4 linked regions of the Lonchura striata genome follow. The protein of the gene in region 1 purifies or fractionates together with the protein of each later gene. This does not show direct contact. Links are inferred from orthologs where the notes say so. Each region holds a gene or a part of one and is shown on either strand. Other genes may lie near its edges.

The links.
Region 2: the proteins of SART3 (region 1) and PPIH purify together in Homo sapiens (affinity purification with mass spectrometry; 3 studies listed by BioGRID and IntAct, with this or other methods). This does not show direct contact. The link is inferred for Lonchura striata from reciprocal best matches to the Homo sapiens genes SART3 and PPIH.
Region 3: the proteins of SART3 (region 1) and LSM6 purify together in Homo sapiens (affinity purification with mass spectrometry; 4 studies listed by BioGRID and IntAct, counting the BioPlex papers as one, with this or other methods). This does not show direct contact. The link is inferred for Lonchura striata from reciprocal best matches to the Homo sapiens genes SART3 and LSM6.
Region 4: the proteins of SART3 (region 1) and LSM8 purify together in Homo sapiens (affinity purification with mass spectrometry; 4 studies listed by BioGRID and IntAct, counting the BioPlex papers as one, with this or other methods). This does not show direct contact. The link is inferred for Lonchura striata from reciprocal best matches to the Homo sapiens genes SART3 and LSM8.

The regions. Positions count from the first base shown.
Region 1 is NC_134620.1:11,419,534-11,427,730, reverse strand, and holds the start of SART3 (spliceosome associated factor 3, U4/U6 recycling protein), read right to left. Parts: upstream 3,284-8,197; 5' UTR 3,237-3,283; coding exon 3,069-3,236; intron 1,975-3,068; coding exon 1,848-1,974; intron 1,208-1,847; coding exon 1,103-1,207; intron 128-1,102; coding exon 1-127. Other genes in the region: iron-sulfur cluster assembly enzyme ISCU, read left to right, coding at 3,813-3,896, 3,971-4,084, 4,288-4,398, 4,990-5,068, 5,435-5,529. UniProt on the Homo sapiens protein: U6 snRNP-binding protein that functions as a recycling factor of the splicing machinery. Promotes the initial reassembly of U4 and U6 snRNPs following their ejection from the spliceosome during its maturation.
Region 2 is NC_134626.1:8,516,653-8,524,631, forward strand, and holds the start of PPIH (peptidyl-prolyl cis-trans isomerase H), read right to left. Parts: upstream 3,210-7,979; 5' UTR 3,057-3,209; coding exon 2,991-3,056; intron 2,650-2,990; coding exon 2,585-2,649; intron 1,981-2,584; coding exon 1,957-1,980; intron 1,467-1,956; coding exon 1,422-1,466; intron 1,012-1,421; coding exon 969-1,011; intron 1-968. UniProt on the Homo sapiens protein: PPIase that catalyzes the cis-trans isomerization of proline imidic peptide bonds in oligopeptides and may therefore assist protein folding. Participates in pre-mRNA splicing.
Region 3 is NC_134606.1:62,311,411-62,318,710, forward strand, and holds the start of LSM6 (U6 snRNA-associated Sm-like protein LSm6), read left to right. Parts: upstream 1-4,051; 5' UTR 4,052-4,087; intron 4,088-4,716; 5' UTR 4,717-4,735; coding exon 4,736-4,829; intron 4,830-7,300. UniProt on the Homo sapiens protein: Plays a role in pre-mRNA splicing as component of the U4/U6-U5 tri-snRNP complex that is involved in spliceosome assembly, and as component of the precatalytic spliceosome (spliceosome B complex).
Region 4 is NC_134607.1:33,922,115-33,929,650, forward strand, and holds the start of LSM8 (LSM8 homolog, U6 small nuclear RNA associated), read right to left. Parts: upstream 3,096-7,536; 5' UTR 3,039-3,095; coding exon 3,008-3,038; intron 2,140-3,007; coding exon 2,099-2,139; intron 977-2,098; coding exon 849-976; intron 1-848. UniProt on the Homo sapiens protein: Plays a role in pre-mRNA splicing as component of the U4/U6-U5 tri-snRNP complex that is involved in spliceosome assembly, and as component of the precatalytic spliceosome (spliceosome B complex).

The sequences.
Region 1 (8,197 bases):
CCCTTGGTCACGTGCAGCCCCACGGCCGTCAGAGCCCGCTCGAAGATGGACCGAACCTTCTCGATGCCCCCTTCCTGCCCAATGCCTCCAATGGAATACTGGGCATATTCCAGCCAAATTTCAGGACCTAAACAAGGTTAGGAGAAGCAGGTGATTTGATCTTTTCAAAAATAATAACGAAGAAACGCAGCTCTGCTTCCCACAAATACCTCGTGCTGCATAGAAATAGAAAAACATGTGGCGATGTTGTTTTTTATCCAAAAAAGTTAAAATATTTGGGGATTGTATTTATGCTGCTGGTTCAGCAGCAGCAGCCCCAGTTTCCTTCTGAATGGTGTCACTCCTGTGGTTTTGCTGACAGGGACTGGCCCTGCCTGTCACCTCTGCCACACAAACCACAGTAGGGATGCACCAAGATGCCTGAACAGCAAATTCCTGTTTCCTGAGCTGGGACCACAGAGCTGTCACACTCTGGAATAATTCAGATTAAAGCAGCTCCTCCTACTCCTCTTTCCAAACTCCTGAACTTCCCTGATCAGCAACTCCTGAAGCAGCTGAGTCCTGCAGGTGAAGGAGAGGTGGGAGAACAGCACTGAGTGCCTGGCACCATTCCCACCAACTCCAAATTCCATTTTGGGACCCCCAGGTTGGGACTGCCCTGGGTTCCAGAAGTGCCTCCAAACCCCAGATGAAGTCCAGCAGATCCAGAGGATAATTCCTCACTTCTTCACCTCCATTCCTTCCTCCTCAGGGATCACCAATACCAGGTAATGTCACTGATGTGACATTCCGTACGCAACTTTTGGGGGGGATTTACCTCCGTATTCCCTCCACTTCTTCAGGCTTCATTTTTCCAGCTCTTTACCCCAATTCCCAAAGAGCTCAGGGATTTATCCCCAAAATTTTAAGCTACAGCATCTCCTGAGAAATAGAGAGACCAGACATCACATCCTTCCTTTGCATCACTCCACATTCAGAGTTTAGAAATTAATTTGAAATTTTGACCCAATTTCTTTGTTACAACAGAAGCAATAGATTTCCCTACAAAACCAAATCTGGATGCAACAAAACCCATTTTAAAACATTTTTTTTGATGACTTACAGATGTAATCTTTGACAGCTCTTTCAAACAGCTCATAAACCTTCTCTCTCTCAGAGATCTCTGAAGCCATTTTTATCTCATCCTTCAGCCAGTCCAGCCAAATTTCTGGAAGGAAAAAAAAATTAAAGAAGATCATTAATATTCAGAAATAACACGTTATACCCACTTGATGAGTTTTTAGCAAAACAATTAAAACAAAGGAGGGGAAGTAAGGCAAAGAGAGGAATTTTAGCCTCCACAATTCCAAATTAATTTCAGATAAAAGGCAGAAAGCTTTTAAATTGGTGCTGAACAAGCACATTTTTACTAAAGAGAAAAGCTGGAATTTCTCAGGACTTAGAAAATCATCCCATTCCATCCCCTGCCATGGGCAGTGACAACTTCCACTATCCCAGGGTTGATCCAAGCCCTGTCCAGCCTGGCCTGGGACATTTCCAGAGATCCAAGAACAGCCACAACTTCTCCAAGCAACTTCTGCCAGGGCCTCCCCATCCCTTTCCAAGAATAAAACCCCACAGCCCCTGCAATAAAACAAAAATCCCCACTTCAAGCACCCGCAATTTCCACCAGCAGGGAATTTTCTTTGCTGCCTGCCTAAGAAATTTTGACCAGGAGTTTGCTGAGCTCTGGATCACATCCCCCTGGAGCGAGGGTGCTGAAAATTTGGCTTGAATATTTTATTTCACTGCTGAAGCATCTTGCACGGGTGATGCTTCACCTGCAGGGAGCAGAGGATGCTCTGTACCTTCAGTGAGGGGGAAGAGCTCGCTCATCTTCTGCCGAGCTCTGCGCAGCTTCACCAGCTCTCCCTCCTGCCGGAGCAGCTTGATCAGATCCAAGTGACAGTTGTAGTCAAAAGCATTGATGGAAAGCTTTAACAAACAACAACAAAAAATTTAAAAGCCCTGTTGAGTGATGGACGTGAAAAAGTCAGAAAATAAATCACACAATTCTCGTGGTGTGATCACAGAGCCAGGCAAGGCAGAGTTCCTCATGTGAAAAATGCACATTTTATGATTGGCTTTTCGCAAATGCTACAATGAATATTATACGTGTAACGTCAGAAAGTTATGCTGTATTAATTCTATTAATTCTCTTAAGTAGTGTGTTAAATGTAGCTTTAAGTTACAACATAAATTCTGCGATGTAGGACTTGTTACAAGCTCAAGCAGGAAGATGAGATAATCAAGAAATTCTTCACACGGAGATGTCAGTGAAGAGGGCCCATAAAAAGATACAGCCTCCTTAACAGAAAAAACAAACATTCTTCCACCTTCTCTCCGTCTTTGTGGAACCAACAGGATTAAGGAGAAGTTGACAAAAACCAAAAGAGTTCGTAATTTGCAAGGAATTTATGCATCATGTATGAGAAATATGAATACACAACAGGCTGTTGCTTTTAAGGTTATTCCTTTGTTCACAAGGGATGCTTTTCGTGACTTAGTGACCGAGAGCATCTGGATGTCCGTAATTCTTTGCTTTTTATTGTCTTGCAATTGTCCTAACTCTAAACTTTATTACTCTAATTGTATTACTATTTTCATAAACATTTTATTATTATTAAACTTTCAAAACTTTAAAATTGGCGTTTTTCACACTCAGATTTAACCTAACCCCAGACATAGCCCCGGCCGCTCCCTCGGCCACTGCTCAAAGAGAGAATTGCGCTTTCATTTCTTTAAAGGCAATAAAAAAACGCGGGCAGCCGGCTCACATTTCTGAATGAACACGAACTGCCTACTCCACTTCCCTCTTATTTCCCTTCCAAAAAAAAAAAAAAAAAGAAGAATCTCAAGCTGCTCAACTCCCATCTAGGACTCCAGACATTCACGGCGTTAAATCACCGGATATCCCGACCTGGAAGAAACCCACAAGGAGCAGAAAAATTCACACCCTGACACCAAACCGCCCGGGCGGACACGGATTATCCCCGTTCCCGCCACACCCGCTGCCCCGCCGGGCCCACCTGCTCCTCCAGCCGCTGGATCTCGGCCTCGTTCTCCTTCTCCTCATCCTCGCCGTCCCCAGACGAGTCCGAGTCGCCCTCATCATCCGAGTCCCCGCCCGACTCGGGGTCTCCCTCCGGCAGCCGCTTCTCCTCCTCGGCCGCCGCCTCAGCTCCCGCCGCCGCCATCTTATGCAGCTCCGCTCGCCGCCCGCCGCGCTCCGCCGCCCGCCGCGGCTGCCCCCGCGCCGCCCGTCCCGCAGTTCCGCCCCACCGCCGGCCGAACCGGGCGGGAAGAACCGGGATCCTCAGCCCGACACCAGCCCCGCACTGGCCCGCGCACCGGGGCAGCGCTGCGCCGAGTGCGGCCACGGCTCGACCCTTTGTCTTCTGCTCCGCGGCGCAGGCAGCACCGCGGGCACCCCGCTGTGTGGCCATCAGGGGGCCTCCGGGAGGGTCCGTGGCGTGCGCGGCGCGGCCGGCCCGCCATGTTGAGTGTGGCGCCGCGTGCGCACAGCCGCCGCCGTCTGTCGCGATGGGAACCCTGGCGCGACTGCAACGCCGTTTCTGTCGTTTATTTATTGACTGATCACCTTAGCCACAGCGCGGCCGCCAGCGCTCCCGCCGCCTGCGTGGCCAACGCATGACCGGGGGGAGACGCGAGCTCCGGAGGCGAGGGGGCGTGGCCTGGGCGAGACCTGAGGGCGTGGCCAGCCCGCCCGAGGTTATAAAAGGGCGGCGCCACCGCCCCGCCCCTCAGTGAAGATGGCGGCGCTGAGGGCGGCGGGAGCGGCGCTGCTGCGGCCCCGGCCCGGGCCGGCCCCGGCCGCGCTGGGCTACCACAAGAAGGTGAGGGGCGAGCGTGACACGGGGAGGGATGGGGGAAGCGCGGGGCGAGCCTGTCTGACGCTGTGTCTTTGCAGGTGGTGGATCACTACGAGAACCCGCGCAACGTCGGCTCCCTCGACAGCAATGCCAAGAACGTGGGCACCGGCCTGGTGGGCGCCCCGGCCTGCGGCGACGTCATGAAGCTACAGGTGACCTTGGGGACCCGGTGGCACCTGGGTGGGGTCACATGGGGCTGTTTCGAGGGTCAGAGCTCCCCTCAGGGGACAGCACGGGCTTCCCTCATGCCCACCCTGTGCCCGGGGCAGGGCCAGCCCCGCTCCCCGCGGGCCCGGCTGGGAACACCTGGCTGAGCTGAACCGGGCACTGACTTGTCCCCAAAACGCTCCCGCAGGTGGAAGTGGACGAGAATGGCAAGATCGTGGATGCCCGCTTCAAAACCTTCGGCTGCGGCTCAGCCATCGCCTCCAGCTCGCTGGCCACGGAGTGGGTCAAAGGGAAAACGGTGAGGGAGCTCCGGGAAAGCTGCAGAGCTTCCCACGTGCTGTGTTTTCTGTTGGGATCATGTAGGAAGTGCTCTCCAGGGAATCCCTGCATTACTCTGTGCTGTAGAAGTGACTGCCAGCACTGTCAGGGCTTCACTTGTAGGGCAATAATTGTCTTTTTCAACAACCATCAGAGAACCATTAAGGTTGGAAAAGCCCTCTATAGCAACATCAAGTCCAACCTTTCCCCAGCAGCTCCACTCCTGAGCACGTGCCCAAGTAAACAATTCCACCAGGAAATTATCTTCTGTCTTATGCAATGAGCAAAACCAGGCTGATGGCAGAAATTTTAGTTACGGAGAACCTTTAGATCATTTCTGCCAGCAGTAAATGCACCTCAGTGTTTTGGTAGAGGATGAACAGACTTGAAACAGGCCAAGTGGGGACAGTGTGTGACACTGATATGTCAGTCAGACATTCCTTAATTCCCACATCCCTCACTGCCCTGGGCAGCTGAGCTGATGTCCCCTGTGGATTCTGCTGGCTCTGGAGCATTAAACCTTCTTAGCAAACACAAACAAGGCCCATGACCACCTCTGCCTGTGTTTCAGGTTGATGAAGCGCTGAAAATCAAGAACACAGATATTGCCAAGGAACTCTGCCTTCCCCCTGTCAAACTGCACTGCTCCAGTAAGTAAAAACCCTGGATCTCAGATACTCTGGAAATAGCACAGATGCTTCTGGATGCTGTTTTCCAAACAGTTTCTGCACAACGTTGTCCTTAAGAGAAAACATGTTCAGATTTCAGCGTTAATTCAAGAATTTTCAGATCACTTTGATATATTGGAGTCTGTGGTTCAGCAGACTGATAATAAACAATCAGATTCTGAATTACACTATTGAAATTGGAGGAATTCAGTATTTTAGGAATTCCATTCAGATTCTACTCCTCAAATCAGCCTGTGCTGCTGGTCTTGCCTGCTTTTGTTTCTACTTCATCTTTTGTTTTAAAAGCTTTTGAGTTCTCCTTAAAATCCTTTTTTTTTTGCTTTGCAGTGCTGGCTGAAGACGCCATCAAGGCTGCCTTGGCCGATTACAAACTGAAGCAGGATCCAAACAGAGAATCCGACAAAAAAGCCGACAATGCCTGAACCGCCTGCGCAGCTTCCCCTCCTCCCTCCTCACTCTGCAGTGCAATTCCCGAGCTGTTGTAGGACCCTGTGCACTACTCAAGCTGTAAGATACGCACAAGTTACGCACAACGTGTCCCTGTGGTGTCCAGCCACCCCGTAGTGCTCACATGGATGGGGGCTCCCATCCCGTTGGGAATGCCGCGGGAAGACTCCGCTCCGGAGACAAAACCCCGCTGTCCGGTACTGGAAGGGCTGCACTTTCAATTTTTGTTTTGGGAAGATGTTTAGTTTTGCCTAATATTTGATGGAATTTAGTGGGAAGCGTTGCCCTGGTCTGGATGTGTGTGTGAGAGCTGTGTGGCCGCCCCTGGCTCCGGCTGTGTCAGGGTTGGTTTCGCAATCCGGGGGCAAATTCCTGCTCTTGGAATTCTGGGAACCTTTGCAGGTGCCAAAGGGAAAAGTGACCAGGAGACACTGGTGGTCTCTGCTCCCATCCTGTCGCCACTTAATTTTTGAAGCTCTTGTTTGAGGAACTGAGCCTGAATTTTGGGGTGTTTTCTCTTAAGAATTTCACTTCTTCACTCACTCTTACAGCTGTAAACCCTTGGCTAGAGGAAGGTGTCCCTGCCCAAGGAAGGGGTTTGCAACTGGATGACCTTTAAGATCCCTTCCTACCCAAACCACTCCAAGATTCTCTAAGGAGACTGGAAGCTCGGTGGGGAATAGCAGAGCTGGAATGCAGAGCTGATGGGGAGCTCCCAGAGTTCCTCTTTTCTGGAGGAGTATTTCCAAACCAAGCAGACAACACATTGGCAGACTTCACTTTTTAACCTTCTAACCCACAACAAGACACCTCACTTCCCATTTTTCATGCCGAGGGTGTTGTTAAACATTTAAAACCACACTTTAAAAAAAAAAAAGTCTCATTCTGCTCTGTCTGGGCACAATATTTGTAATTTTTAACACAGAGGTCACACATTGCTGTATGTCATTCACAAGGTCCCTCTTGTGATTCCTCAGCTGGCACCCTCCAGCAGCGAGGAATGTGCCTCTCCCTCATGGAACAATCCTGCTATTGCCCAGTTAAAAACAAAATCAGGGAAACTTCACACATTCACGTCTGCTTTGGGGCAAAACCCGCTCTTTGTGCTGGCACTCTCTTCCCAAGGGAAGGTTGTCCTGAGGCAAGGACATAATGGGATAAAACCCAGGGATACAGGAGGTTCAGGGATACAGGGACGTGCTGCTTTTGAGGCAGCACAGCTTCACTCACCTTGCAGGTCTCCCTGCTGTTCCCACTGCAGCAGCTGCACCCCAGGGCCACGGCTGAGTCCCCACAGCCCCTCCTCAGCCCACAGCTGTGGGTGCGAGATAAAGGTTTCCTGGAAGGGCACGTGATGTGCTGATGTGGGGACTGATAACACCCTGCCCAGGGCTCCAGTGCCCCTGGAGTGCAATCCAGCTGTGCCCCTGGAGGAGCACAAGGACACAGGGACGGTCCCCTGGCCACCCCACGGCTGCAGAGACACACAGGAGAGGAGCTGTGCGGAGGAAATGTTTATTTCTAGCTGAAAGGTTCAGGAAGTGAGGCAAAAATCCAGCTGGGCTCTGGGGTGGAAAGAAGGGTCCTTGTCCTAAATCCTCATCCCTCTTTCCCTTGGGTGGCCATGGGCAAAGCTGACCCATGTCCTACAGACCCCCAGCCCTGGTCCCATCCCTTCTCCCAGAGGGACTCGGCTCCCAGCCAGGAGCCTGGCATGGACCAGGCTGTTGCTGCTGATTGAAATAACATTTGGGAGGAAGCTGGTGGCACAGTGGGGGCAGAGCTGCAGCTGGGGGGATGCACACACCCCCAGTGCCTGGGGTGGGAGAAGCCCCTTGGGCAGCAGGAGCTGGGGCTGATGGCGTTCCAGTGCTGGGGAAAACCACCAGCTGGCAAATCCCCCCCCACGAGCATCCCATCAGCACCAGGGTCGGGGGAGCTGGGAGGGAATGGGATCTTCATCGGGGCTTCCTTGAGCCACCACGTACGTACGGAGCCTGACCCACCGTGTCCATCATGAGTCCCAAGCCAGCAGCTCCTCAGGCTTGCCCGGGACTGTGTCCCTGCCTCAGATTCCAGAGGGAGCCTGGCAGCCATCCTGGGATGCATCAGGCATCTCCTTGCTTCCTGCGCTCGCCACTTCCTCCACGCCTGGACTTTGAGCAGGGGGCTTGGCTTGCTCATCCCCCAACTTCTTCCCTTCCTCCTCTTCCTCCTTCTCCTCCTCCTGAGGGGAATTCTGTTCGGCCTGGGCCCCGTTGGCCAGCGGTGCCTTGTGGGGGGATTTGAGGTTCTGGGCAGCAGCCAGGATGTCCGCCTGGAGCTGCCGGCCGCTGTCCAGCGGCTCCTCCGCGCCGGCCTCGGGGCCTTTCTCGGGCACCTCGCTGAACGCCCGCGCTCCCCCCGACTTGTCCCGCTCATCCACGTATTTCTTCTTGGGAAAGGAGGAGGGATAGTAGGCGGAGGCCTTGTGCTTCTGCCGGACGATGACGGCGGCGCAGATGATGAAGAGGAGGACGAAGGACAGCGAGCCCACCACCACCACCAGCAGCAGGTACTCCTTGAAGAAGTCCGCCAGCCCTTCCAGCACGCCCGGCGCCGAGCTGTTGGTCACCGTGGTCCCCGGCGCGTCCCCCACCGTGG
Region 2 (7,979 bases), on another chromosome or scaffold:
TAGTTTCTAAAATAAGGATTTTTTGTTTATGTTTGTACTTTCTACTACGTCCTTTTGCTCTACTTGCCCAGCCCTTGTTTGTTTCCCTCCTGCTCTCTGTAGTTTACTTAAACTTTTGGCTCTGAGACAGAAATTTGCACCCTGTCTCAGGGGTCAGTGTGACTGTGGCTTTGTAATAAATACAATATATCAATTCCAAATACTGGAGCAATCTGTAAAGTCTGTTGAGATACAGTGCAAGTAATACAGTGCACTGGTTCATCTGAGCAGTGTCACAACTAGCAACTACAACAGAGTCTGGTGTTGCTGAACCGCCTGCTGTGTGGTCATTTCTCTCAGAGACTTTCATACAACCAAGCTGTTTATTAAAAAAGCTTTATAATTTCCCTCATATTTTTAAATGCTTCCAAAATTAAAATAATTTTACTGGATCCTAGAACAATGAAGATACCGTGACCCTTCAGCCTTACTCATATATTCTTATCCCTGTGTCAGAGCACAACCACCATTGTGGGTGCAAAGACTTTTCTATTTTGAGACAATTTAGTAACAAAAGGTTAGTTTTGATTTAAATGACCTCTTACATTACGCACTGGGTTCTGTATTTAGGGTCTATCTACAATATGAATTGAAATTCACAGAGGTTTTTGTCTGGAGGAGGACATCAGAAGGGGGAAGGAAAACAGGGCAAACAAAATTTTTCAAGTTTTGAAAGCTTCCAGGGTTTTGATAGGCTACTGCAGAGAGAAAATATTTTGGGAAGAATGCCTGTTCACAAGGCTCCAGATTCCTTTTCAAGAGGTTTAGTGTCTGTTGCAGTAGGATGGCAGCAATGCTATGAGCATACCTCCAGCTACTACTGGATACCTCAGAAAAGAAGGAGATCCCACAAATCAGCAAAGACCCTTGGAAACTGTAGCATGTTATACCATAGAGGAAAAGGACAAAAAGAGTACCAGAGTACATACATTTACGAAGTCACCTCCTTGGATCATGAAATCCTTTATTACCCTAAAGAAGTAAAACAACACTTAGTTCCCAGTGGCCAAAAGCCTCAAGAAGCTCAGTGTAACATGAAAAGAGGTTCTGCCTTGCTGTGCAACAGAAGTTAACACAGTTTGTGAATGCTGCAGCCTAAAATCTACAATAAATATTAACTGTTGATATGAGGTCATTTAGGACTCATTGCTTTTGTACAGAGATAGTGATTGTGTGATAGATGCCTTATCTGACATAGCACACCAGAAACAGGGGATTCCTCCCAGTGGGGAGGACAGCATCCCCAGGTCCCCCAAAGCCATAGAATTACATTAGCCATGATCCGCAAATGTCTCCAATACCACTAATAGCTTAAGGCAGCTCACAAAACTCTGTATGGCTCAGGCTGCTATTTAGTGTGCAAACAACGGTCTACGATTTACCTGTGGAAAGTGCTTCCTTTATAACCTATAGGGACACCATCTTTCCTGTAGGGCAGTGAAAAGGAGAATTATTGCAACCTACCGGATATCCCAACACAAAATAGTCCCAACAATTCAGAGTCCCAAAGGGTTGCTGTGTACATTAGCAGCTGCCTTGAAATACAAACAAGTGCCGCAGCCTCTCAGCTGCTGCTGTTGAAGGCAAAAAAAAGCCTCAAGTGGGCTCTGCACATGAATGACTCTGTTCCCTATAACACCCACATCATCACCTTCACAGGATCCCACTGCAATGTGCAGCATAAGCAGGTGGGCTTTGCAGATAGAGCTTATAGAGCCATGTGGGCACAAAAAAAGTAATATCAGAAAGCGAAACCTGCCATCTCTGTGAGTCTCCAAGCCCCTCACAACTTCCTCAGAGCAGGTTTCTCTTCCATTTTGTACTAGTACAACATAAAAAAGTTCAAGACAAACCCTTTCTACCTCACCCAGCCCTGTTTCTCAGTGGGACACTTAAAGGACATTATAATCCACTTACCTGAATTCACCTGTACAAAACTGCCTGGCAAACAAAAAGAGAGCAGAGTGTTAGGTGCATGTGAACTCTGAGGGCTACACAAACTGGTGCACAGGATTTTCCTTATTGTGTCAGAGATGTTCCCAGAGAAACAGGATTTGGCAATTCCTTCCCCCTGCCATTTCAAAACATATTCTGTGCTTTTTGTCGTGAGGAGGTCAGAGAGTTAACACCAAGGTTGTAAGACACTGTGAATATGGGGCAGACAGTGTGTTTGATAGAGAGCAGGGTATGTCCATCCTTCCAATGGAAGTGGGATTTCACATGGTGCATTCCTCATTTGATGGCAGGAAAACAGGATGACCAGGAGACCTCCACCATGACACAAGGCACTGTCTGCTCTAAATGCATGGAGCAAATCAGAAGGCTTCAGAGAGGAGGGCAGAGGAGGACCCCTTCCAGCCAGACAGGGTCCCCTGAGAGCCCAGGATGCCACACAGCATCTCTGAGAACAGAGAGACACAAAGCAGGTGAAGCAGTTTGGGGTGGGAGTTAGCTAATCAGTTTGCTACCAAAAGCCATTCCTGCACCAGAAAGCCTTTGCAGTTCCAGTCCCGGCTGAGCTGCAGGAACAGTAGCTGCTCATTACCTGAAGTTCTCTGCTGTTTTGGGTACGACATCTGCGAACAGCTCGATCTTCATGCGGCCAACATCCTAAGCAGACGGGGGCTAGGTGAGTCTTCCAGGTCCCTTCACAAAAAGACGCCTGCCGCCCGACCCCGAATACTCCCACAGATCCGGTCACCTTATTCACCCCCATTCATGCCCGTCCCTCCTAACGTAGTGCTTCTCCTCTCCCCTGTGAGCCCTTCCCCACAGGCCCGCTATCCGTCTCCTGGCACCGCCCCTCCCAGAGCTTCCAGCTGCGGCCCCGCAAGCCCCACATTGAGCCCCCGCACCTCCTGCGCTCTCTCATCCCCACAAGACTCCGACATCCCTAGTTATCCCCGCAGTCCCTCCGCGGGCGCCGCCACTCCGTCCTGGAGCATCCCCACCTGCCCGCCGATGGTTACATCGAAGAAAACCACGGGGTTGTTTGGATTCGCCGCCAGAGCCGACATCGCAGTACCACTGCCGGAAGCGGAAACGGCGGCGGAAGTGGAAACGGGGACGGAAGGAGAGACAGGGCGGGGCTGTGGGGGTGAGGTTCTCCGGGATGTCTGGGATGTGTTCGGTGTGTCCAGACTGTGTCTGCGGTATCGGGGTGGCGTCCGGAGCTCCATCCTGCTGGGACAGCTCGGACTCCCCAGAGTAGACCACTGCTCGGCTGGGAAGGCCTGCTGTTCAACTCCCTGTCCCCCTGGGCACACGCCGGCTGAACATGAGCCCAGTTGTGCCCAGGTGGGCAAGGAGGCCAATGGCACGTGGGCTGTACCAGCCACAGTGTGGCCAGTGGAACCAGGGCAGTGACCACCCACCTGTAGTGATGTGCCTCTAGTCCTGGGGTCAGTTCTTGGAGCTTCACTACAAGAAAAACATTGCAGGGCAGGAGTATGTCCAGAGAAGAGAATGGAACTGGGGAAGGGTCTGAAGTACAAGGAGCAGCTGAGAGAGCTGGGAGTACTCAGCCTGGAGAAAAGGAGGCTTGAGGGGACTTTTTCGCTATCCACAACTCCCTGGCACAAGGATGTAGTCATGTGAGGGTCAGGCTCTGCTCCTAGGCAACAAAGGACAGGACAAGAGGGACTGGCCTCAAGTTGTTGCAGAGGAAGTTCAGGTTGCACATCCGTAAGAATTTCTGGAAAGGCTCGTCCAGCCCTGGCACAGACTGTCCAGAATAGTGCTGGAGTCCCCATCCCTGAAAGGGTTTAAAAGCTGTGTAGATGTGGCACTTGGGGACATGGTTTAGTGGTGACCTTGGCAGTGGTGGGGGAGAAATTGGTCTCAATCTTCAGGATCTTTGCCACTAATTCTATGATTGCAACAGTTAGGTCTGTGCTTGTTTTCAAGGTTTGATCATCTGAACACTGCCTTTGAGAAGTTTACAGGACATCCTTCAATGTCCTGAGTGTGCTTGAGCAGAAGTCATGCTTTCTGTGGCAGAAAGATGAGCAAGGTATGTAAACAAGTGCACTGCAACTTTTCTGCTTGGAAAGAGACCTCTCCTGGATGAGAATCCTGATTTGGGAATAGTCATGTATACACTCAATGGCTGAGTGCAGCTGTCACAACCAGTGCTGTAGCTGGGCCTTGCCCTTTCCTTGTGGCAAGAGAAGGCTCCAGGGTGAAGATCAGCCCTGACTTGGCATGTACAGAAATGGGTTGGTGCAGAGCACTTTTCTGCCACTGAAATGCCAAAATGGCAATGCCTGCTTTTGGTGAACAAAGGTGATCTATTTCTATACCTTCAGCCTGTGATTGGTGACACAGTTTCCTCAGGGCATTTCCTAATGACTCTAAAGATTATTTTTGAGTCTGTTACTGTTTCCTGAGGGTGAAAATCTACTCAGTGATTTGCATTGGTGGATTGTGTCCTTCAGTGCGTCCTAGCTGTGGTTTTGCTTTAAAAACCACTGCAGTTCATCTGAAAATACCTTTTTTTGCAGGCCAGGGATGGGCAGTGGTACAAGATGAATGATGCCTCAAGACTTCTCTCTGCCAAAATACATACTTAGTTTTCTATGCCAGGTAGGAGCAAGTGTGAAAGGATATTCAGAATATACTCTCTCTTGTGTTACTGATCCTGTTGCTGTCTTCTCTGATGGGTTTTGCTTTTTGTCATAGGAGAGAATGGCTGTTTGTCCAGGTAAGTTCTTTCTGTCTTGCAGTTGACAGGCCATTTCTTCTCCCTTGCTGTCTGGCACTGAACTGGGCTTGTGTAAATTGCCAGATGCATGCTCTCTGAGAAGGGCCAGCTGTGAAAAGAGGCAAAATGGACATCTGAGAGTGTAAAGATGAGTCACTGCCTGAAAGGGCCAGACATGTCTGGAAAAATGTGGTCTATTTTCCAAAGCCTTGTGCTGTTTCAGTCTTCTGCATGTCATGTCAAATGTGCCAGAAAACAACAGGGCTGAAGCCTCAAGGAGTCTGCAAGAAATCAAGGAGGTGTAAAAAGCCCACACACACTGAGAAGGGGGAGAACTTGAATAGAAGTCAGCCAGACATTCTATCCCCCAGGAAAAGCAGGGCACCCTCACCACCAGCTGGGAAATGACCATGAGAACCTGCTCAGCTGTTCCCACAGGGACAGAAAGAGCTTCCTGATGGCAGAAGTTCAGGGAAGGATGGTGCAAGAATGAAGAAAGGGAACTTTTCTTCATTCATCATCAAGAGAGGAGAACTAAAAAGTGGCAACATAGCAACAGTTGCCTCACTCCTTGACAATCATTTCAAGTGCATATGGCTTCTGTATGGATCTGTTCAGTACTGGTCACTAAGCTTCCCAGCATAACCTGCCAGTGACCATTAAAGGCTGCAGATATCTCAGAAGAATGTTGACCATTAAACCTGACATTTATGATTGAAACAATAAAACCATCAAACCAAACCCAGTCCCATCTGGTGTTTCTGATTGTCCTATAGAGAGTTTGGGTCTGTTACTGTTTCCTGAAGGTGAAAAACTACTCAGAAAGAGACATGCAAGAAACAACAGACAGGGTTTTTAAAAATTTGTTTAACTCAAGGCTTCCTATATGAACACTCGCCTGTGATGCAGGAAGGTGGGAGCTTTTACACCTGTATTGCATGCAGCGATCTCAAGGAAAAAGTATTCTCAGGAACAGTGTCTCCAGGGCTCCTGGATCAGAGGCTCAGCTCCCCTGTGTGTGAGTCCTGTTCTCCCAAATGCAACATCCAGGGAGAGATGTCTCTGCAAGAGAGACAGGGAAACCAAGTGACTGCAAACATGGACACTAACAGTCCCCATTAACATGGGTGTTTGGTTAAGCAGGTGGGTTTCCACTCTTGCTACTCCTTTTGGTGAAGAAATTGGTTTCCTGGCAGAATTGGGCAGTGGAGTTTGATTAAAAAAGACAACACTTCACCTTGAAGATGATTCTGCAGTGTCTCACACAAGCTGCAGTTCATATACCTTCTGCCCTATTTCTCAGGTATCCCAGAAATCAGTTTCTTAGGCAAAACCAAGACAAACATTTAGGCATTTTTTATCACAGAAAGTATAAAGCACCAGCTCCTAAGCTTGCTTAGAAGCTCACTCCAAAATGAGAAAAGCTTCAAGCTCCACTGCCAGTGCTTGGGACTGCTGTGCCCTCTAGCAACCTAGTCCAGTGAGAAAGGTGTTGGGAGTAGGGGATGTGAGCTGGAGCACGGTCCAGATGAGCATCCAAGTGCAGAGATCTTCCTTGGCACCAGTCATGCTCTGGTGACCTGTGTAAAAGTCACTTCTTCAGCAGCCTCTGAGAAAGGGAAAGATACTTTACTACAGAAATACCAAGATAAATTATTATTTAGCTACATGTATTGCATCTGCATAAACAAATTCTTTGTGTCTTGTCCTCTTACCTTCTCAGGTACACATGACATCAAAAAACACCTTTGCAAATCATGTAAAACTTGCAATACAAGCCAGGTTACTACTCTTCCTCATAATCTGCTCAACCAACAGTGTCTTTCTCCAGGGCCTGCACACTATGAGTGGCCTCAGTTTCCACTTTCCATCTTTTTAATCTCCTCTGTCTTCTCCTGTCTTCTTGGGCTCTCTGCTGGGCACTGAACTCAGCCACTCCCTGACCTCCCAATGCTTTTCACTGCAATTGTGCTGGCAGATGTTACGTAAAAGCACTATCTTGGCTTGATAATCTGCACATTTTTCTCTTCACTTGCTGCTTTTTGATGCATTTTTTGATTTTATGAGCCCTTGTGCCCTGGCTCCCTCCTGCTGTTAAACCCAGTTCCTGCAAGAGAAGTGACAGGCAGTGTGTCCTCCATGGTGCTGTCTCCTCTGTGGTGCCTTACCTGCATGTCTCTGACCTGGACAGCTAGTGGGAATCATCACAGCACTCCTGGTACAGGCTTGTCTCCGGGTGTGGAACATGGTTCCTGAAAAAGAAAAGCGAAACGCACAGTAATACCTTGGCAATGTCCTGCTGGTAGAGCTGATTGGAAGGCAGCTCTCTAGACTGCCAGTGAGGCAAGTTGGCATCAAGTTCCAAGGCTGGTTCAGGGATGCTCTTGAGTAAAAGTGACACATTCTCAGCTCCACAGCTTCTATAGGCAAGCCATGTCAGTGCTTCACCACCTCCACAGGGAAGAATTTCTTCCCAGTGTCCCATCTAACCCTGATAGATATCAGTATGATGCTATTCTCCCTTTTCCTGTCACACCAGCTTGTCCCAAGTCCCTCTCCTGCTCTTCTGGAGCCCCTTTAGGCACTGGAACGGGCTCTAAGATCTCCCTAGAGCCTTCTCTGGGCTGAACATCCCTGGCTCTTTGTCTGTCACCAGAGCAGAGCTTCTCAGAGCAGTTCCATGGCCTTTGGACTGCAGGTCCACATCCTTGCTATGCTGGAGAACCCAGAGCTGGAGGCTGCACTGCAGGTGGGGTCCTGTCTGAGCAAAGAAGAGGGGTAGAACCCCCTCTCACCTGCTGCCCATGCTATGGGGATCAGCCCAGGACACAGTTAGTTTTTGGGCTGCCAGTGCACATGGACAGCTTATGTCTAGCCTCTCACCAGCATCCCACATCCTTTTTGGCAGGGCTACTCTCAATCTCTTTATCCCACAGCCTGTATTGATACTGAGTGTTACAATGGCCCATGTGCAGCACCTGCACTTGGTCTTGTTGAACCTCATAAAGTTCCTGTCAGCCCACTGATTGAGCCTGTTCAAGTCCCTCTGGATGGATCTGTTCTCTAGGCGTGTCACCCACACTGCTCAGGTTGGTGTCCTCTGCCAGTGTGCTGAGGGTGCACTTGATCCCATTGTCTGTTTCATTGATGAAGCCTTGAATAGCACTGGTGCCAGTACAGGCCCCTGAGGGACACCCATTGTCACAGATGTCCATCAGTACTCAGCCATCTGTCCATC
Region 3 (7,300 bases), on another chromosome or scaffold:
TTGTTTAATAGAAAACACAAACCTGACATGATCTGTCACAGTATATTTTAACTGGACAGAAACTAGGAAAGACAAATATGTGACAAAAGGTCATCATGTCACTTAAGCCATATAGGAGGAGATGAACATCCCAAGGGGGTGAGCACAGTATAAGAAGTTGAAGATGACAGAATTTTGTTAGGCTCTTCTATCTAAAATCTATAGGTCAAACCCAATACTACTTTGAGTAAGGTTCCATTCAAAAATATATTAACTTTTTAGTTGAGAACATGGAAGGAAATTATTAGTTCTGATGATCCTAGCACATCATGGGAAATAATGCTGGATAACTAAGCCTCTGTTTATGGAGAAAAACATCTTTGAAGTTTTACTGTATAGGCACATACAATCATTCACATGCTGGGAGGCTTGAACTCTCCCATCCAAATGCATCCAAAGGGGAATATCAGACCTCTTAATACTCATTAAAAAGCCGGGCCCTTGGGAAGCAAAGCACTCCCAGGAACTCGGAGGGGGTTAAGTGAACTCTGAAAGCTTCTGAGGCTCTTCCTTTCCTTTTGACGGAACTGAAAGTGTAGGAGACAGAGAGAAAGCCTCTGAGTTCTAACATTGTTCTCCCCAGCTCCCTGGAAGAACTGCTGACAGTTCCTTGTCCACCAGGAAGTTTGCAGAGGAGGAAAGGGAAGAAGGTCCCAATACTTCCTTTCTTTCTCTTGCTTCTTCATGCACCCTTCACTTCCTTAATGTCTTATTCCTCACACTCAGAACATCAGAAGAAGACAGTTCTAAGAAGCATAAATCACAGTGAAAGAACACAGCTCCAGAAGGAAGGTTTTGAGACCTCAGCTGTATTTTCAGTAACTCACAAATGTATCCTAAGTAATGGAGGAGTAATTAGCAAAACTTCTGCTGGCTTTAGTGAGAGCAGAATTTTGCCTTCCACCTCTCAAATCCCAAAAATGTACTGTCATGTTTACTTCAGGGCCCTCAAGAAACCCTGCAATATCAATGCTAATCTTGAATTGCAGAGTTTCTCCATATCAACACTATTTCATGGAGGCTGATACCTCCTTCTACCTCCCGTCAGAGAACAAGAAATGCTCCCCTGGATTTGGAACTTGATCTTGTCTATTACTTTATTACATAACTTAAAAAAAAATTATTTCCTCTTTTTCGAACCTAAGAAGACACTGAAGTTAATTGTTAAAATCATGTGATATGCTGTGATTTGGGCCAGAATGGATTTGTCCTCTCTGACAAAAGTTTCAGGTGAGAACTGTTTAAAGATTGAGGCTTTTATTCATCCACTGGGTGTAGCTGGGGATTGTTAGGTTGAATTCAAAATGGGCTACAGACATTCTTTTGTCATCTGGATTGTTGTTGATCTGCACTTAACTTATATAAACGATGTGCAATTCACAGGAAAAGGCTCCTTCTGACCCATTCTGTGTTCTGTAGCCATCTCACTCTGAAAATGCTTTTATTTCAAGTAGCTGGGAGAGAAAAATCTTCCTAACTTTAAAGTGGGTTTTATTGCTAGGAGAGAGAAGAGAGAGAGCATGAGTGAAAGTGAAATCCCATTTAATTTTTAAAGTTAACGGTAAAGTTTTAATTAGGTCCTCTGAACAAGGATTCTGTGAGGCTTTGTGTTTAAGAGTTAGCAATAGATCCACAGACTTCCATCTTAAAGTTCAGTTGACAAAGGCCAATACAACTCTTTACTTTGTAACTACGTAACCATTTATGTTTGAGGTGAAGATGTTAATATGGAAATTTTGTGAGCTGGGAACGACTAAGAACTCTATCATCGTAATTTATGACCTTTCATCTGAGGCCAAATGTAAAGGCAATTGCAATTGTTCTTTATCTCAAGGCCAGCACATAGCAGATGTGTGAAATTTGGAGTGCTAGACATAAACTTTTATTACCAAATTATAAATAATTTCTATCACTTACAATGTTCACCTTTCAAGTTCATCTTGATTAAAACACAAGGGCAGCATCTCGCTGATTTCCATGAGTTACACAGCTGAAAAAGCTCTACCATGGTACATTAGGAAAGGATAAAGCAATGCAGTATTTAAAACAATCTACTGACATCCAGGTATGCAACATTTTAGATAAAAATACTTTTTCATCTAGAGGACAAACAAACAAAAGATAATCATCAGCCAATGACATCTGAATTTTATTTTCACTTTTGGAGATTTGGAACCTTAAGGATTCCATTTAAGACTAATTTACCTCTAGGAACAGCACATGAGACAGCACTTTGAGACCTCTGGCACACCAAGGAAAATTACCCAAGATTTAGGTTCATGACTTGGTCTCAAACTGTGGAAGAAAGGAGCTAAGGATACAGAACTCACCAGTCTCAATGCCCAGGATTCAAATCTGATGTGTTTGTTTGTGAGGTTCACAGGCTGTGAAGCAGGAAAGTACACTGATTTTGTTGACTGACAGCAGACAATCAAGGTATCCACACAGGTAGAAACTGTAATTAAGTGTAAGCCTCAGCTAGCTAGAAAGCAGCCTATTGAGCAGAAAGCAAAACAGCTCATCAGTTTCTGATGGCTCAAAAAACCCCATAAAAGCTCTGAAGGCAAACTTGTAAGAAATAAAACAAAGAGGAAGGCTTACAAAACAAGGTGTCCCTGGTTGGATTTGCAAAATTGCCATGAAAATTTACCAGCCCAGACATGAAAGCTTTATTTGCCAAATCTTTATACTGGAGATTAATAACAATGAAAACAGAAATATTCCCTTATCAAAGCATTACTCACTGAAGCCAGGAAGCCAAATAAAACTTTGCAAGTCTGCTCCCTGGAGTAACTATTTTATGTTCCTTTTCTGCTTCAAATACTAGATATAATCAAGCACAGTTGGATGCTCCTGATTAACATGACGGTTGCCTGGAAACACAAGCACAGTGTGGCCAAACTTCCCTGTCCCTGCCTGTGCTTGAACTCTGGGACAGGCAGGTGAATAAGGTCAGGTTTGCAGCTCTTGCCTCTTAAAAGCCTTTTAGTCTAAGCATTGGAGAAAAAATTGTTACTGGACACATGTTCAAAAAGAGAAGATAAACAACTCCAGAAAGAAGTGAGAATACAAATCTGTGTTCTGAAAAGCCATGGTACATTTTCTTTGTATCATGAGAATTGAGAGGTTTGACAAGATACTAAATCAATACAGGACAGATAAAAAACCCAACAAAACAAAGCAGTCCAGAAGCTTTCACAGATTATTAACTCTTGTCATAGTATGAAATCGTAAAAAAAAAAAAAAAAAAAAAAAAAAAAAGAAAGAAAAAATAAGTATTTGAAGTATTTTCCAGACATCAGGGGATAGCTGCGAGAAAGGAGGAAAAACAAGTGAGATGATGGGGAGAAGCAGAAGAGTAGAAGGTGAGTTCAGTTTCTTCGTATGCCAAGTTATTCCCAGGTGACTTAAAAAAAAAAACAAAACTTATCTGTGTTCACTGATTCCTCTGTGAAATGACCTTCAGCACTTCCCTGGCTGGTCCTGGACAGATCCCTGTGAGGTGCTCACTATGTCTCTGATAAGGACAAGATCATTTGAGAATTAGCAGGGTCTCATTAGAATAGAATATAATAATGAGTACCGTATTGGGTATCAGGAAGAATTCCTTCATGGAAGGGGTGATTCGACATTGGAATGGGCTGCTCAGGGAGATGGTGGGGTCACCATTCCTGGAGGAGACTGGAAAGCAAAGCCTGGAAGCGGCCCTCAGCTGGGCAGCGCTTGGACTCGCTGGTCTCTGAGGCCTTTCCCAACTTCACTGATCCTGCGGGGCTTTTTCCCACAAGACACCCTGTAAACCTTCCACACTGCAAGATTTCTCTCCGATGGGGTGTTATTTCGCGCGGAATCCCAATCAAGCCATAAAAACCCCTCACCGCCCTGAAGGGGCCGGGACTCCCCCCGCCAGACCGCGGGGTGGGGCCAGACCCCTGAGGGCGCGCCCGGCCCGTCCCGCCTTCGACCCGCGCGGGCCGTCCCGCCCGGCCGCCGTAGCGGGGCGGGGCGGGGCGGGGCGCGGGAAGCGCCGGGAGAGGCGGTGGCGGCGGTGAGTGCGGGCCCGGCCGGGGCCGTGTGTGTGCTCCGGGCTGGCTTGTCACGGGCCGCCTGCGCCCCCGGGCTGGCTTGTCACGGGCCGCCTGCGCCCCCGGGCTGGTTTGTCACGGGCCGCCTGCGCCCCCGGGCTGGCTTGCCGTGGAGCCGCGCTCTCCGGCCGGGCTGGAACGCGAGGGTTCCACCCGGGGGCAGCGGCTCCAGACGCGTGTGCGGTCCGGGAAGGGGGCGCAGCCCTGGGCGCCAGCATCGCTGGCGGCGGTGGGTGTCGGTAGGGAAACTGGATCCCCGGGTTCACGGCTGGATTTGCCCCAGGAAGCAGCGAAATGAAGCCGGCACCGTGCGGGTTTTCTGTCTCTGGCCTTTGGCACTGTTGAAATTTAAAAGCTGCACAGTGTGGCAAACAAAGATTCTTAGTAATGCTTTCAGAAGGAGTAAAAATGCCGAAGGGAAAGTGGAATGCAATGGCTTTAGGAGCTCTGTCTCCCCACCTCAACCTTTAGAGTTTTGCTTTAATCTCTTTCTCTTATGGAAAGTATTACAAATCAGGGGTCTGCTTGTCTGTACAGAGTATTTAAAACAATGTGGAGGCATGTCTCTTATCCTAATGTTTTCACTTCTTAGCTTACCAGAGAAGATCACGATGAGTCTACGGAAGCAAACCCCCAGTGACTTCCTAAAACAAATCATTGGAAGGCCAGTTGTTGTAAAATTAAATTCTGGAGTTGATTATCGAGGTAAGTTCTCTATCTGTCTCTCACAGTGAGTAAAGTAGTTCATTGAGGAGGCTGGAATAGATGCATTGATTTGGAAAAGAAAGGCAGTGTGATCCAGAATCATGGAGTATGAGGATAGATATCTCAGAATGGTGATGGCAAAATAGAAAAACAACTCCGGAGAAAGTGTTAAAAAGAGGGGGTAACAACAGTGGATTTAGAGGTTAAAATTACTGATCTAAGTTATTAGTGTCATTGGTCACAGGTGGGTAAACTGGATGATTTTGAGTTTCTAAGCTGATACTTGGAAAGATTGTCTGGAATTACAACTCCTGAAATGGCCAGGAACACTCCTTGTTGGAACTATGTACTAGGCTTTTCTTCAACTTTTTTTTTCTCTATTTAGTTAATACAGATCTTGATCCAGGAAAACTTCAGAGTAAACCATGCTGTCAGTCACAACAGAATTCTTACATGAGGGATGAAAGCATTATTGACATTCTTGGTTAAACAACTGCCTGGACCTGTGCTGGACCAAGGCTCACAGAGATACAGGAAAAGGTTTAGTGTAGTTTTTGCAAGCTTCATTTTAACACAGCCCATCAGTTTTATTCCTGATTTCTTCAATCTATCAGTATACCTTCATGTATATAGAATTATAGATTTTTTTTTTAACCAGTAAATTAAAACTCTGTGCAATGAAATGTTCTGGTCCTGCTCCCATTAAGATAACGGGATCACTCTGACCAATTTTTTTAGCAGTATCCGAACTCAGTCAGACCTAATCATGTATCTTCTGCTGTGCTCAGTTAAGAAATTTTATTCTGTAATGACTTAAACTTTATGGTTCTGCAAAAGACCCCTTCTTCAGAGAGGTTTACCTCAAGTGGCTTACATTGGCACTTGTGTGAAGAGACTTGTTCGTGCTCTGACGAGGAATCTTTGTGCTAGGACAATATTAAATTGTTACTGTTCATTGACTGAGCAAGCAGTGGCATCTTACTCCTTCCTGTTTCTCTGCGGTGTCAATCAGCTGGCAAAATTTTCAGTCTCTCATTTTTTTGAGAACCACATTGTCTGAGTACTTCAGGTGGGTTTGAGGGCTTAAGAAGTTTGCTGCCTCTCTGTAAATTCTTTAGTGCAGGAGAATGTAGAGAGAGCTCATTAAAGTCAATTAAAGCAAGTCCTCATTTACCTGAGGGTACACAGAAGGCAAGGCCAAACCAGATTTGGGTTTTGCTGCACTTCCTATTTTCATTGAGACCATTGCTACCTCTCCCTTGGTAAGATCCTTTTGTAAATGCTGTAGATTAACGACCCAACTTACCCCTCAGCAAAGCTAGTTTAATGTGCCTACTGTGTGACACCACATCACATTAATTGAATAAGAGTTCCTTGAACACCCTTATTTGTTACTGGATTTTTCCTGTCCTTCCCTTCCTTCTTTCCCTGCACTCCTTTGATCTTGTGACAGAAAATCTGTGTAGTGTTTTCATCTGAAAAATATGCACTTAGTTTGTTTTCTGGAGAAATGTGACCAGCATTTGTAAAAGCCAAATATTTACAAAACAGCATCTCGGGCTGTTGTTGCAGATCTGTCCAGATTCTTCCCCAGACTGTGTTGCTGATGCTTTTGTTGCCTCCACCCTCGGAGGCCCCACACACACACACCTCATGCAAGTGTTGATGTGTAACTGAACTGTCTTCAGCCATTGCCAGGTGCTGCAAATGTCCAAGACAGGAAGCCCTGAGAAGCGATCAGGGGTATATTAATGTATGGTTCTGTGTGTCAATATGGATATGTACATTAAAACATCTCTACATACAGATGAAAGAGATAAATTGCTAGCCAGGATGGGCAGTGATAATATTTGATGCCATTAGTGATGTAAGAGTAAACAAAAAGAAAAGGAGGAAGAGAATGAAACAACCATGAATGCACTCTCGAAGCAAAAGAGTTTGAAAATACTGCATTTATGGCCTACTAAGTTGTATGTAGCTCAGGTAAATCCACATGGTCCAGTTTTAATTTTGTACAAACATATTTTTGCATCCTGTGCTATGTGGATCCCTTAGGATTACTGGAGTGGAAAAGAATCCTGACTTTGGTTTTGGTCTTCTTGCTGCATTTAGTGGCACTTTGTGAGCAGTTTTTCCTGTCTGTGGAAACAGAGGAGAGAAAAACAGAAAGGAAAATAATAACCTTTAAGCCATGACAAGTTGGTAAAGAAGTTGAATTCCTGATTATTAACTAGACGATCCTGCAGTAACACTTCTGAAAAATTAGAATATGTCCTGAGTTTTCTCCCTCTTCTTAAGTACAGCTAATACACTATATTTCATGTCTTACTGCCAGGTAAATAGCTAGGTGTTTTTCAAACAGAGGAAAAAGTTATTTAAGTAAAAAGTTATTTATCCTGTGCAAGGATAAAGACAGAAAAACCCACATGCAAGAGGAAGATGAAACAACTTGTAAAAAGCTGTATTACCTC
Region 4 (7,536 bases), on another chromosome or scaffold:
TAGAAGATGAAAATTCCTATCGAGATTTATGTCTTAGCCACTGCAACACACTTTTTTCAGCTGTGATAAAAAAATAATCTTACTTTTGCAGCAGCATTGTGAAACTGATGGCAAAAGTAATCTTCCCAGCTGGCCCGCTTACCAGGCCTTCTTTCCACTTCTCTGGTAACCCTCGCATGGGTTTGGCACACCAGCTACTTTTCTCCGCACTCAATGAGCTTCCACCCTCATTTTGTAAGGGAAGTTTACATCAAATACCAACTCATACATTTGACTTGTCATTACATTGGCTTCAACACTTGCTACACTGTCAAGTCAGAACCTTCAAGGATTTTCCAGATTATAAAGTTCTCTGCGAACATCTGCTCTAAAGAAAAAAAAAACCCAAACTGATACCAAATTGATGACTTTTGGTACACAAGTTCTATCTCATTTTTTAGTGATTATTCTGTCTTTTCCTTCATCATCTCCCAGCCTGTCCTTGTAGGAGAGATGCTCCAGCACAGAGATCATCTTCAATCTCAACTTCAGTCTCAACTTTTAGAGAAGTGTAGACGTTTGGTCTTTAATACAGAATCACAGTTGTTTGTTTGGAAAGATCAAATCCAACCATTACCTAACCCTGCCAAGTCCACCACTGAGCCATGTCCCTAAGTGTCACTTCTACACATCTTTTTAATACCTTCAGCTTTGACAATACTTTCAGTGCTACCCACAAAGATGCAAGGTGTGTGGGGCTATCAAGATTTATACAGATTATGGATATATAAATATACACACACACAAACACATGCATCCACACACAAAGTCTGTATGAAAGGATTTAAACAAGAACATGCTATACTTACACATTATCACCTCTAACAATGTATAAGCCTAGCACTACTTGCTCAACTCCTTGTGAAGAACTGAACACTCGTTCATGGCTTTCATCCAAAATCAAGTTTATGGTCTGATCAAAACCTTTGAGTGTTCCCTGAAAAAAAAAAACACAAAAAAGCACACTGCCGTTGCCCTTAAAATTCTTCCCCTTTGCTGTCAAGGACAGCACTCTTAAACAGAGTGGCAAAATAAAGGTACTAGAGAACAGATGTTCTATTCAGATTTTATTCTTTGGTTTAAACACAAAAGCTAAAGAATGAAATTTTAAAAGCAATAACCAATTTAAGAAAAGCACCCTAGTATTACTTTGTGTTCATGCTAAAAGACAATATGCTTAAGCATTAAAAAAGTAATTTTTTTATTTTATCAGTGATGTTCCTCTATATAACCAATTCTACTATTTCTACAATGGTTTTTTGTATGGACATTTCCAGAAATTAAAAAAAAATATCAAATAAACAGAAAACAGACAAGTTGGATTCTTGTGGTCAACAATACTGAAACCATTCCTAACAAACAATTTTTAAGGGGCATCTCTTTGAAGATTACTTTGTGTTTACTGATTTTTTTTTAAATACATTAAAAAATACAAGATTTTGTGGCAATTAAGTACGTGTTTGGATAATTTTTAACATAAATTTACCATCACTAACTGATTAAGAAACTCAAACTTACATAAAACAGCCCTTGAAACAGTCATAATATTTATATCATCTAACAACGAGTCATATATACCAACTCCATTCCAATCTTTATTGATAGAGGTATCTTGTAGCACACACACACAAAGTTTATCAGACTGACTTCAGCCAAGCAGATTTGGTGAAGCCAACAGATTTCTGTTTTCTCTTTCCAGAGGCTGCACAAAGCTCAGTGTAGACAGAAAGATACAATCCTCTTGCAACAATCATACTATTAAGTTACACTCAAAACACAAAAGAATAAAAGATGGGGAAATGCAATGCAAGGAAAGAAAACCCAAAACACAGAAGCATAAAACAAAAAATATTATGCAGTCAAATATATCAATGGAAAAAAGCTGACATGACATGCAAGAAACAGTAAGTGTTCATAAAATTATTCTTTAAGCTTTATAGCAATTATTCTATAATACATAATTTAGTAATGTGAGTATGTGAGACTATCCTAACAGAGCTTCTTTATTGCCATGATGTCTTTATGGGGAAAATAAAATGTTAAAAAAAAGAAGTCTTACCACAATCATTCTTCCATCAGAAGTAATTACTGCAACAGTACCTGATATTTAATTAAGGAAACATTTAGTTATATCTGAAATAGAACCATTAACACTTTCTGAAGCTTTCATATGTAATACAGGTTTTATGAGCCATTTAGAGCCTAAAAAGCCTATCTGCACTTTTTTTTAAAGCAGCATGGCTGACAATAACATGTAACAATACAGTATTTTTCATTAACATCTCTTTGAAAGTTTCTCTTCACCCAACCATGGACAGCCATAAACAAACATGAAAAGCCTTAAAAACAGAATAAAGATTTGAGCTCACCTCTCTTCCCATTGCTAACTGCACTGCCTCGAAATGGAAAGTTTAATGAACACTTTAAGACCTTAGAAAACCAATCTTAAAGTCCTTAAAAAGCTCTGTAGTAGTGATCCCGAGGCTAGTATTCTGCATCTCTTGTTCCTGAAGATCGGATTATCCCTATTCGATGATCATATATTCATCGTCTTAACTAATTCCGGGTTACTAGTTTACTGTTTGTGAATAAAACTGACAATGTCTGTGGGTTACAAGGAGCACAAAAACCGAGTACCAAAAGCGTTGCAAGATCCCCCAGCTCAGTTTTGAGCAAGTGCTGCGAAGCTGTTATCCAAACTCAGGCTAAGAGCCCTTTAAGGGCGCAGGCCCACGGCGAATCCCGCTCACCACGGGCAGAGCTCAGCCCGGCAGCACTGCGAGCTGCAGGGGACCCTATTGCCGCGTACGCTCCGGCCTGCCCGGCCAGCCTCCGGAGGAGAAACCCCCACCGCCAGGAGGGACAGGCGCGGGCCCAGGCCCCGGAGCCGCGCTGCCGCGCCCCGCCGGGGCCCCGCTCGGAGCGCGGCCGGAGCGCGGCGCGCCGTGAGGCGACGCCAGGAGGATACGGTTGATGTAGGTCTCCAGCGCGGACGTCATGGCGGCGGCTCTCACCGCGGGGCGCCGCGCAGGCGCACAGCCCGGGGCCGCCTGCGGAGCGACGAGCGCGCATGCGCGGGGGACAGGAAGCGGCCAGGAGGTGCGGGAGGGCTGTACCAAGGAGCGATGCAGAGCCGCGTGGGGGGCTGCGGCACCGCCCCTCCGCGGCGCATGGCACCGCCCCTCCGCGGCGCATGGCACCGCCCCTCAGAGGCACACGGCCCCGCTCCTCAGAGGCACACGGCCCCGCCCCTCAGAGGCACACGGCACTGCTCCCTCAGAGGCACACGGCACCGCCCCTCAGAGGCACACGGCACTGCTCCCTCAGAGGCACACGGCACTGCTCCCTCAGAGGCACACGGCCCCGCCCCTCAGAGGCACACGGCACCGCCCCTCAGAGGCACACGGCACTGCTCCCTCAGAGGCACACGGCACCGCCCCTCAGAGGCACACGGCACCGCCCCTCAGAGGCACACGGCACCGCCCCTCAGAGGCACACGGCACTGCTCCCTCAGAGGCACACGGCACCGCCCCTCAGAGGCACACGGCCCCGCCCCTCAGAGGCACACGGCCCCGCCCCTCAGAGGCACACGGCCCCGCCCCTCAGAGGCACACGGCACTGCTCCCTCAGAGGCACACGGCACCGCCCCTCAGAGGCACACGGCACCGCCGCTCAGAGGCACACGGCCCCGCCCCTCAGAGGCACACGGCACTGCCCCTCAGAGGCACACGGCACTGCTCCTCAGAGGCACACGGCACTGCTCCTCAGAGGCACACGGCCCCGCCCCTCAGAGGCACACGGCACCGCCGCTCAGAGGCACACGGCCCCGCCCCTCAGAGGCACACGGCCCCGCCCCTCAGAGGCACACGGCCCCGCCCCTCAGAGGCACACGGCCCCGCCCCTCAGAGGCACACGGCCCCGCCCCTCAGAGGCACACGGCCCCGCCCCTCAGAGGCACACGGCCCCGCCCCTCAGAGGCACACGGCCCCGCCCCTCAGAGGCACACGGCACTGCTCCCCCAGAGGCACACGGCACCGCCCCTCAGAGGCACACGGCCCCGCCCCTCAGAGGCACACGGCACCGCCCCTCAGAGGCACACGGCCCCGCCCCTCAGAGGCACACGGCACTGCTCCTCAGAGGCACACGGCCCCGGCCACAGGGACGGCAGGAGGCGCGGCAGGGGCGGGTCTGGGCTGGCGTGGGCGGGAAGGTTTATCCCTGCAGCCGGGGTCCGCCTTCAGCGCCTGGCTGCTTGGTGCAGCGATTCTCTTCGCAGTGGCCACTGGCAAAGATAAGGAATCATTGTCCACGTGGAGACCAGTGACTGGTGGTGTCTCTCCAGGGGTCGGTACTGGGGCCAACACTGTTCATCCTTGTAGGTGACATGGATAGTGGAATTGAGTTCACTCTCATCAAAATTGCCGATGATACCAAGCTATGTGGTGCCATTGAAATTATGCCATCCAGAGGGATCTGGATAGGCTTCAGAGATTGTCCCATGTGAATCTCATGAAGTTCAACGAGGCCAAGTGCAAGGTCCTACACCTGGTTCAGGGCAATCCCAGACACACGTACAGGCTGAGTGTACAGGTGATTGAGAGCAGCCCTGCAGAGAAAGACGTAGGAGTAATGGTTGATGAAAACTCAACATGAGCCAGCAGTGTGCACTTGCAGTCCAGAAAGCCAGCCATAACCTGAGCTGCATCAAAAGCAGTGTGGGCAGCAGGCTGAGAGAATTGATTGAACCTCTCTCCTCTTGTGAAACCCTGTGTCACAGGTTCTCCCAGCAGAAGGAGGACATGGAACTGTTGGAGCAAGTCCAGAGGAGGGCCACAAAGTTGATAAGAGGACTGGAGCCCCTTCCTTATGAAGACAGTGTAACAGTTGGGAATGTTCAGCCTGGAGAAGAGAAGGTTGCATGGAGACCTCATAGCAACCTTCCAGTATCCAAAGGGGTTCTACAGGGAAGTCAGAGAGGGACTCTTTTTCAGGAGCTGTAGAGACAGGACAGTGAGTAATGGGTACAAACTGAAAGAGGGAAAATTTAAGCTAGATTTTAGGAAGAAATTCTTTACTGTGAGTGTGGTGAGATACTGGAATACGTTGCCCAGGGAGGCTGTGGATACCCCAGCCCTGGCAGTGTTAAAGGTCAGGTTGGGTGGGTAAGGCCTTGAGCAGCCTGGTCTAGTGGAAGGTGTCCCTGTCCATTGTAGAAAAGGTTGGGATTAGATTATCTTCAAGATCCCTTCTAACCTGTAAATTCATATGAGTCTTGCTAGTCTGGGAGCCACGTAATCCTCCCTTGGTTTTCGGTGGGCTGCCAGTGTCAGGTGGGCAGGAAGGAGGCCTGACTGCTGCCCTTCCACACAGCCATGTCCCACACAGCTGCTTGCTCATTTCCCACTCAGTGGGATGGGGGAAGGAATTGGAAGGATATAAACTGGAAAACTCTTGGGTTAAGATAAAGACAGTTTAGTAGGGAAAGCAAAAGCTGTGCACACAAGCAAAGCAAAACAAGGAATTAAATCACTGCTTCCTATGGGCAGGCAGGTGTTCTACCACCTCCAGGAGAGCAGAGTCCCATCACATACAATGGTGACTTGGGATGCCAAATGCTGTCACTCCAAACATCCTCCCTTTCTCCTCCCCCCTGCCTTATGTACAGAGCATGATGCCACATGGTAGAGAATATACCTTTGGTCAGTTTGGGTCACCTGTCCTCGCTGTTTCTCCTCCCAACTTCCCAGTTTAGATTGTCCCTGTCAGTAGTCCAACTTCCTTTTATTTCAGTAAAAGAGACAAATTGGCAAGAGGTCCAAACTAGGACTTGGTGTCCAGCCCATGGTTTAATTCCTGTAGGGAATACAATTTCTGGAAAGGAGAATGCTATTGTTTATTCTCCTAGCATGCCAATTGTTTTCTTGCACACTATTGCAATCTCAACTACAGGGAAAGCAAAATTAATTTTTTTAAAGCAAATCAGCCAGCCAAAACAAAATAGATGTTCTTTGGCACCTCTGAAGTTACCTACACCAAAGTAGTCTCTGAAGAATTTGTCTAATGGCTCAGCCTTTATCAGAAACATGACAAGAAATGTCAGAGAAAAAAATACTTTTGGAATTGGGCATTACATAATTCTCATCCTCTTAAGCTTTTATTATAAGAAGCTTAACAACTTCCACTAATGGTTACACCAGGACAGCAATAATTATTCTGTATTTCATGTAAGAGTCTAAAGGGCTTTTGTGTGAGGGGTTGACATTTTCCTTTTTATATTTTTTCTCTCTGTAAAGAGACATTCTCAAAGACCAAGAACATGAGATCGTTGGGATACAAGGATATAGGATGAAATCTTAAAATATTTGCAGGACACTGCCACAATACCTGACGCCAAGGATCTCCGATCCATCTGTTTATATTAAGAGTGTCCCTGAAAACCAGAGAAGGGATTTTTTAAAAATCGCTTTTGTTTTATAAAGGAGGATTAAAACTCAAAGAGTAAGGCCAGACTTCTTTAAAGAAGTCCAGTGCCCAGGCTTTGCCAAACCAGGTGCTTAAAAGCAGTTAGCATCCTCAGTAAAAAGGAACTCTGAAAAGAGAATTCCTGGCTTCATCTACTCTTAGGCTCTTCCTGAAAGCAGGCAGCTCAGCCCTTCTTCTTACAGCCCTAACTGAGGTTCAATCTTCTGTTTGAAGCCACCACTGCTCTTATTCTTTTCTTACTAAACACCCACACACACAGAGGAAATGGGTAAATCTAATTTAAACCCGTATCTTTTGGGGGGAAAAAAAAATATACTGCCTCTCCTCTTCAGGAGCAAGGTTTGGCAGGCTAAATTACAACCTGGGGGCACAAGTGGCGTCATTTGTGCGGAAGTTGTTCCCGGCGCGGAGAGCGCGCGGATCCCCGGGGGAAGGCCGGGGCTGCGGTGCGGCCGCGTGCCCAGCAGGGGGCCCCCGCGCCTCCGCAGCCGCCGCCCGCAGCCTCAGCGCGGCGCCGGGTCCGGCGCACGGAAATGCCCTGCCGCAGAGCGAGATGCGTTTCCCCCTAAAAATGCCTGCGTCTCTCCAGTGCTTACAAAGCGAGCCTGCTGTGACCAACTCAGACACGGACGTTTCACAGGTTCACACTTTCATTAGAGCAGACAGATTTTATTTCTGATGACTGTATAACATTGGCAACATTTGGGATCAGAAAACTACCTAGCAGCCCTTTGCCTGTTCCTTCTCTTCAGTTGCTGCAGAGCTGTCCTTGGGGACATACTAAGTAATAATAATGCCCGTTAAGCTATCAGTTGAAGAAACAAAAGACCCTTTTAAAAAGGCTTCCTTTTCTCTTACATTGTTTACCTATAGCTTACTTGCTAATTACATTTGGTCTAGTAATTAAAATCAGTTTATTTCTGCAGATGATTCTCCATATGTTAAGGTTGCTATGGCAAGTGATTGTTCCATGTTATGCTTCCTGCAGAATATGTGACTAACTAATCATTCCCT